2 linked regions of the Daphnia pulex genome follow. The protein of the gene in region 2 interacts with the protein of the main gene of each other region in a pairwise test. Links are inferred from orthologs where the notes say so. Each region holds a gene or a part of one and is shown on either strand. Other genes may lie near its edges. The genes, in order: Down syndrome cell adhesion molecule-like protein Dscam2 and cytoplasmic protein NCK1-like.

Region 1 (3,822 bases), about 3.2 Mb from region 2:
TGGTGCCGAAATCCGGTGGTGGCAGAGGTGGATTGGTATTGGTATACGAAGCATAAGAGTTGCTTTCCGCTCCTCCGTACATGTCACAATTAGCCGGATCGTCGTAGCAGTTTTCAGGAGCATAAGTGGCGCCGTTGGGCATTCGCATCATTCGGTTTCCGGGACGGGGCTAATGTTGTCGCAACGGATCACGGTTAATAAGTATGAGTACGGAAATGCGCAAAAGGTCATCGGATTACCATCGATTGGGAAGCTTGGCGGTGGTGGTTCATGTCCTGTTGGGGTGGTTGTCCTCCGTTGGGATGAGGGAAAGTCTGGAATTGGTTTCCTGTCTTGTTGGGATCCATTTCTTCGCGGAATCCAAGCAGATGAAACGTGGCGTACGGACAGATCTCATCATCCATACCTTGAAGGAAATACCGAGAATTATCATTAGTGACGTTTTTATACCTTCGGGACTGTTGAGATTCCCAATTTCGTTAATAAAAAGACACAGTTAATACGACAAAAGAGTACCACACAGATTGTCATCGGCTTTCTTTTTTTTTTTGTTAAAGTATGCCTTCAACCGAGGGTATAAGAAAAAGTGTTAAGATTATATAAGTCCAGGCAGAAAATGAGACACAACAAGGTAAGCGAGGAGTGGTAAGTGGGTGGTTTTCATTTACCTGCGTACAACGAAGCCCCAGACTGGTTTACCTCCTCACCGGGAACCTCTACATTCCGGCGCGGGGGTGGGTGGATTGACAGTTCGTCATAAACAGGTCGGCGTGGGTCCAGCGTCCGATAGGCATGACAGTCTGCGTGACCTTTTTTTTTGTTTTTCGTTTGCGTAAGTGTACGTTTTGTGTGTGTTGTGTGTGTTTTGTCAGGTATTTTTCGTCGATGTATGGATGGAATGAGTATAGCCAGAGAAAAACAAAATTCGGGAATGAAAAAACGCAATACAAATATAGCGAACGGAAACGGAAATAAGCGGCAGGATCGTCACAAACGCAGAACCGTCCGGATAAATAAAAAAAAAAAAAAATCAGTGAATCGTCGACTACCAAATGTTTTTTTTTCTTTTTTTCTTTTTTTGATTGTAAAAGAGAATTTGAAAAATAAACGTGCATTGCAAACACTCATGGCATACCATTGAATCGACAGTAAGAAAAAAAAGAAAGGATGAAATGAAAAAAAAAATACTTTGAATGGAATAGTTACCGCGTTTGATCCGGTCGCAAGTGTTGTATTGGGTTCCTGGCACAGGTGGGAGCTTGCGGTTGGGTGGAGGGATGTAACCAAGTTCATCACGCATGTCACCACCGTTACGTTTCATGGTCGCATTGCTGGCCGAAGCTTGATTGTAGATGACATCATCTGGCCAAACAAAATGAAAATGAAACAAGAGATGAACCGAGTAATAATTTAACAAAAGCAAACCTTTGTGGCCGTTGTTGCGGCCCTTGATGACGCAAATGACGACGATGGCGGCGATAATAACCATAATGGCTGCGGCAGCTGGAACCACCAGATTCAAATTCATCAACATGGCCAGTAGCGGATTTTCCTTCTCTGATGTTTCCCTGGCTGGGGCGATCGTTCCTTTTGAAATGAAATAATACGTTCCAGTTTAATATTGAGCACTTGACATGGAGAAATCTTTGAACGGAAGCCGTTTGCGTAAACATTCACTCTGTGGCAACCTCTGTCGGAAGCCGAAAACTAAAGTCAACACTGTTAAAGCTGCCTTCTTCCGCCTAGACCGCGAACCCCTCCCGTTTCTTTAAACTAAACACAACCCCACTCGACAGCCATTCACAACATCGGCGGCTTAAGATCCACTTGAAGAAAAAAGGTTCCGTCAGTGTTTGTTTATATTTACCTCCGGTTAGGGTCAGAGTGGCAAACTCATATTCGGCAACAGTTGAACCTGCGTTATTGTGGGCAGTCACACGAAGATTATACCAAGTGGCCGGGCTGAGATCAAGTACGACGAAATTGCCACCGGGCTTGACGCTGTTGGAAACCAAAGTCCAGTCTTGATTTCCCCTGGAAGGAAAACAAAGATGAGTGCCGACGCTCGGATAATTCAAAATCAAATTCAGAAAATCAAAACATACTTTCCGCGATACTCGACAACAAAGTAAAGCATGGGACAACCGCCATCCGACCAGGCACTTAGATGAAGTGTCACACTGCTAGCTGAACCTTCGATAAATCGGTTGGCATCCGGAACAGCTGGAGCTGATCCTTTGGTCCGTGTGTTGATCACGTCCGACCCTTCTCCCGTTCCGATTCTGATTCGAATTTGAATGATTACGTGACACCAACAAAGAGCTCTGTGCTTCAATGATAAACATACCCATTGTAGGCTCTGACGTAGAGTTGATAACGAGTTCCACACCAAAGGTTCTCGATCGTGTAATCCTGAAGAGAGTTGCCGATTTGAGTCGTCTCCCAATCGCCGAACTCGGGTTTGTAGTGAACAGTGTATCCGTGGATAGGTGTCTCTTCTTCCTTTCGCGGTTTCACTTTGATCGTAATAGACGTAGTGGTGGTGGATGCCAACGATAGGTGAGGCGGATATGGAGGAGCTATCGATAAAATTTTTAAAAATTAATAATTCGTTTTCTTAACTTATGATGTTTGAGAAAGTCACCTTGAACTTGGAGTTGGTGAGTGACTGTGTCTTGGCCGTACATGTTCTCGACGGTGCAGGTATACTCTCCAGCATCATCGCGAGTGACTTCACGGACGAGGAGAGATCCTTCAGGCAGTAGGCGAACTCGTTCCGATGCGGCATAAGGAGTTCCCTTGATTTTCCACTGGATTTCAGGCAATGGAGCACCGACTGCCTGGCAGGGCAGTTTGACATCTTCGCGGTACGAGACGCTGAAAGTGTTGTCAAACGACGCAATCTTGGCCGGAACACGGGTACCAGGAGCAATCGTGACGGTCTTGGAAGCCTCTCCCTCTCCGACGTTAGTGGAAGCCGTTACCCAGAAATTGTAGCGCTCCTTCTTCTTCAGTCCGCTGGCCTCATAATTTAGTTGAGATGGCGACACTTTCTGACTACGAGCATCCTCCTGAAATTAAAGAAGTTGTATTACAATTCTAACAATGATAACATGTCAATCATTTACCGATCCTTCTTGAATGTAAACGGTGTATTGATTGACGATTCCATTTGGCAATTCCGGTGCTTTCCAGCTGACTAAAATTGAATCCGGAGTCATCAAAAGAGCTTTGACAGCCGAAGGTGATCCAGGAACTGAAAAATAAATAATTTCCAGGGATTTTATTATTAATGAAATGTTATTCATGCGAATTTTGCAAATAATTACCATCTTGTTCGGTGTGACAGGAAACGGGTACGGATTTGACACCATCACCGCCAGCGGTGAAAGCCAAAACTTGCATGCTGTAGTTGGTGTACTTGCGCAATCCGTGGAGGATAGTCTCGCTGGTGGTGATAATTTTGGCATCTTTGCTGGTTTCATCTGTTGGATTAACAAAAGGATGACGCCATCGAATTTGTCAGACTTGCACAACAATGAGACAACTTACCGAACCAGATATGACTCGGTCCGTAAATGACTTTGTAACCCTTGATAATTCCGTTGACAGTAGTCAGAGGAGGTGATGTCCAAGACAGCCGAATGGATTGAGAAGTTAGGGCTGTGCACGTCACATCTTGAGGGGCCTGTTCTGGAGTTCCTTCGCCCGTGTGCTGGATCACTTCGTCAGACATGGGTCCGGCGCCGACACGATTGAACGCTTGGACAACCACGGAATATTGCGTGTACATCCTAAAAATAAACATCGTCAGAAATGATT
Region 2 (4,468 bases):
GGAGGAGAATAATCAGCAACAGAACAAAAAAGGAGGCAAGATTTCGATTGCCAACGTCGAAAATAAAACATGGGTGAACGACAAAAAAATGCTGTACAGGCACAGACACACACACACGCGCGCACAATAGAGAACAGAAATGAGCTTTGAAATCATACTACAAATGGGTTATACGAGCACACACACACTCTGGGGGGGGGAGAGAGAAGAATAAAGACGAAGACAGTTATGTTTGAAAAAAAGGGATTAAAAAATGTTTCTTATTTCGCAATGTTCTTTACTTCTTCCTCCCTCTCTCATTCTGTGGGACTCAGCTTCTACATGGTTATGTGGTCGGGTGTTCAAGGGATGCGAGAGACTAGATTCCTCGATACCAACACGAGTTTTAAAAAAATTAATAATAATAATAACGCACAGTTCCACTGAGGTCTATGGTGATGACGAGTGAGCGACCAATCTGGGAATGAAAGCAAGCGAATCCCTTCTTAAACCCACACATCCCTCAATTTAACTGAAACCCTCAAAAAGATGGCGATAGAATGATTATTTGAAGAAAAAATTGATAATAATCAAAAACCAAAAATTTGAATAAACGAATGGACCCGTGATACCACCGGTGCCCTCCTGAAGTTATATATTTTGTGTTTCCTTTTTCACTCGCCATCTCTTCTCATATTTTGGAAACCGTTACTTTTTGTTGTTGTTGTTGCTGCTGTGCCCCTTTAGTGTTATCAATCAAAATTTAAGGAAACTAACTGGGAGTAAGTCTGTCCAATATATCGGGCTAGCTACGAGATTAAATTCATCAAGTGAGCTTGAAAACGCACTCTCCAAGTGCCCTTGGGTCGTATCTGATGAATGCCGAATAATTGCATAAATGAATTAAATGGATCGTTGTCAACGGCGAGAAAAAAGTTATTGGGGTGGGGGAGCTATCGAAAGAGATGAGAGAGTTGTCTCTTCTGTGTTTTTTTTTTTTTTTTTTATCCTTCAAAGAGAGAACAGTGGGTTCGTAATAAACCCACACATTTGGTTAGAGCTACTTGTGTTAAGACCGCCATTAGGCCATCGGTTGCATCGGTCTTGTCGCCGGAGTGGGTGGTGCAAAAGAAGGTGGGATATATCCGACAGGCTTGGGTAGTGGTCGGATAAGGAAGAGACGTTCTCCTTTTTCTGACGTGAAAATGGGGGATCTTTGGTAGTGGTCTACCAACTGGTCGATAGAATGGAACCTAATTCGAATATTAATCAGAATGTAATTGGAAGACTATGAAATGAATATAATCCGATCTTACCTCCGCTGACCGATGACATACAAAGCTCCTTCGACGTGGACTCGGAAATGCTTATTGCGACCGGGTGCTTTCAGAGACACGGAGTAATCTCCAACCTATTATTTACAAATGAATTAGTAAACGTAAACTCTAAAATAGTTTTTTTTTTAAACAAATTACGTTGGTTTCAGATGATCGCACAAGAAAGTCTCCATCTTGACCATACTGATTAAGTAGATTATCGCATTCAGCTCGGGTGATGGCTCCGTAAAACCAGGATTTTTCTTTCAAGTGAGGGAAATTAGGATCCTGGCTCAGGCTAGCAGATACGGCGGGAGGTGTATTCAAACTCAAGGCATCCAAACTTCGCCCCATGCCGTCTACTGCGTTACTTCCGTTGTTCGGCATCGGGGGCAAATTGCTGACAGGAGGCCCACCTGGAGCACCATTACCACCAGGTGCTCGTTGACGGAAAGGTTCGGTCAAAAAGTCGCTAATCTCCTAAAGAAACAAGAAGAACAAGTTTTATTGTAACGAGCATAACGTTACCAATAATTAATTAGTCACGACGAAATAATACCTGAACGTAGTTCTTTGGAATCAAACCAATTGAACCATTGGTGTTCCGGGCTCGATACCAATCCGGATCTGCAGGTGGACGATCAAGAATTTCAAGTCTCTCGCCTTTAACGAAGCTTAGTTCTTCGTTATTTTGTGCAGCAAAGCTGTAAAATATATCAAATACCAAAATAAATTTTAATCCAAATTAATGACTAAAATTCGGCTTACCTGTAAAGAGCAACTACGACATCCAAAACATTCTCGGCTGCTGAGTACATGTGTTCTCCCGCAGACATAACCATAGCTGATGCAGCCGGCGGTGCGACGCTTGCTGTCATGTTTGCTACAGGCTGCTGCTGCTGTTGTAATGAATCTGGGAGGGTATAATTTGATGGAAACCATCCAATTTGGTTTTGGTATTGACCTTTCCACCAACCATCACTGCTTTTTTCAAGCACGAGCACCTTTGTTCCTAATAAATGCATTGATTGAAGTGTTAGTAAACATACTGGGGGTGTTGACGTCAATTTGCAACAAGTTACCTTTCACAAGAGACAATTCATCAGTTTGCTGAGCAACATAATTGTAACGAACAAGCGCCCAGCCTTGGTGAGGCCCTGCATTGAGATCATGAGCTGGATAATGTGATGTATCAGGAGAAGGGCGCTTGATTACTACTGGAGAATCAACTTCTCTCACGGGAGAGCCACCGGGACTGTTGGAGGATTTGTTGATGCTATTCCCTTTTTTCACTCTCTTCTTGATTGAGTCAAATATAGATGGTTTCTCCTTCTTCACATAATTGCTAGGGACATATCCCCATTGGTGTTGAGAATTTTGAACTTTCCACCAATGTTTTGAGTCATCCAGCAATAGAAGTTTGTCATTCTTCCTTAAACTCAACTCCTGTGATCCTTGGGCAACATAATCATACTTTGCAATGACATAACAGTCTTCAATGGCTTTGCCTGAAACGAATGCAATAAACCAACATATAAACATCAACTAATGACAACTGCATAATGAGTCACCCTATAATAATAAACCAACATACCCATTTTTAGACTGCTAGACATTATGTTGTGCGACCCTTAGCGGACACCAATGAGCAATCACTGCCCAAAAATGCTTTGATTTTGAGCAATACTCAAGCTGAACGATGCAAATTCAATTCAATGACTCGTCTTTATCGATTTTAATCCTCGAAAAACTTTTCGTGGGCAGGGCCAGTTTTTAGTTAGCTGCCATGTTGAATACGATGCCTGCTGAGTTGCCATTTACTTTAAAGGCTAGAGCGGAGCTGACGAGAAATAAAATGTGAAATTTACATTGTAAAAAAAGTTTAGAATTTATAGAGGATTGATCCATCAATTTTGGTCATTGGAATGATTTCCGCGCATGCAATATCGTAACAGATTACGATTATTGCACTGTTGCATTTTCAAATAGTTGCTCAGCCAAGAGGGAACTAAGAGACTTATTTCTATTTATGCTGTACTTCATTTAGCTAGTTTGACTAGTATCCACGAGCCGCAGGTGAAACCATCCCAATCTTTCCACCTCATGATGATCGGGTACCATAACCACTGGACCACGCCAGTAATATCATTTATGAATTTTTTTTACTACACATTAAATTGTTTTATTCACATTTTATTTTTGCGGAGCTGACGAGTCTTTTATAATTTTTTTTAAATTGATGATTATTTATTTTCCGGTAATCATATTCAGTTTACATTAAATTCGAAAATTTCTATGCGTTTCCAAATGCGGGTTTAAAATAACAAATAATTTGTCTTGAAAATGGTATTGTTTTATTGTGCATTGACGAATTAATCGTGGCGCAGTTTAATCAAGATATTATTCCATAATGTCGCGCTTTGCTCATAAAGTCCGATCGGGAATAATAACAACCTCTCAATACTCTTTCACCCTGATAACTTTCACGCCCATGCAAGAGCCTCCAGTTATCAATTATCATCACGGTTCCTGGTGAGAGACGAAACCGATATTCGTTTTCTTTTTTCTTTACGAGCGTCGCCATGGTTTTTAGATAACGATAATGGGTACCGACTTCCTCTTGTGGGATACCAGAAAGAGGCGACCGATCTAGCATGTTGAACCTGAATAAAGAATAAATTTACTGTAATTAAAATAGAAACGCCTTTTTATTCAGACAAAAGTATCTTACCGAATCTGTTCCAACTTATGGCTCACTGGATGATGACGGAAGATGGGACCCCAAGAAGAGAAATGCTCACCTGGTTCAATATACTCGGCTTCCATATTTACTTTGGACAAATAATCGTAGGCAGAAGGATCAAGCTGTTTTAACTGCTTAGCCACGTGAAATCCGTCTACCAAGAAAGATTCGCAACCCGTCCCATTGAAATGAGTACAATGAAAAACCAAAAGCCTAAAACAATGAACGGATAGGATAGAAAAGGATAAATTCAGTTCAAAAATAAGAATTAAATCAACAAGAAAAGAGGGAAATCCATACCCTTGCGCTTCAGTAAAATAAGTGTTGTCTGTATGGGCTTCTAAATAGCCGTTCAGGTAACCCGTATCCTTATGGTCGAAATTGGTACCGGTTTCCCAAAACTTTCCAAAGACCGTGTGGGACATACGGC

Evidence for each region.
Region 1: the proteins of cytoplasmic protein NCK1-like (region 2) and Down syndrome cell adhesion molecule-like protein Dscam2 interact in a two-hybrid assay, tested with the Drosophila melanogaster proteins (3 studies listed by BioGRID). The link is inferred for Daphnia pulex from reciprocal best matches to the Drosophila melanogaster genes dock and Dscam1.

The regions. Positions count from the first base shown.
Region 1 is NC_060024.1:11,654,573-11,658,394, forward strand, and holds part of Down syndrome cell adhesion molecule-like protein Dscam2, read right to left. Parts: intron 3,795-3,822; coding exon 3,553-3,794; intron 3,486-3,552; coding exon 3,330-3,485; intron 3,257-3,329; coding exon 3,129-3,256; intron 3,072-3,128; coding exon 2,645-3,071; intron 2,580-2,644; coding exon 2,348-2,579; intron 2,283-2,347; coding exon 2,106-2,282; intron 2,035-2,105; coding exon 1,868-2,034; intron 1,588-1,867; coding exon 1,426-1,587; intron 1,363-1,425; coding exon 1,207-1,362; intron 810-1,206; coding exon 669-809; intron 407-668; coding exon 240-406; intron 170-239; coding exon 1-169. UniProt on the Drosophila melanogaster protein: Cell surface receptor involved in guidance and targeting of growing nerve axons.
Region 2 is NC_060024.1:8,484,021-8,488,488, forward strand, and holds the start of cytoplasmic protein NCK1-like, read right to left. Parts: upstream 3,106-4,468; 5' UTR 2,912-3,105; coding exon 2,890-2,911; intron 2,804-2,889; coding exon 2,378-2,803; intron 2,308-2,377; coding exon 2,064-2,307; intron 2,000-2,063; coding exon 1,855-1,999; intron 1,776-1,854; coding exon 1,455-1,775; intron 1,391-1,454; coding exon 1,296-1,390; intron 1,233-1,295; coding exon 1,061-1,232; 3' UTR 1-1,060. Other genes in the region: trimethyllysine dioxygenase, mitochondrial-like, read right to left, coding at 3,688-3,958, 4,027-4,251, 4,339-4,468. UniProt on the Drosophila melanogaster protein: Adapter protein that links cell surface receptor tyrosine phosphorylation to downstream signaling pathways and effectors, many of which are involved in regulation of the actin cytoskeleton.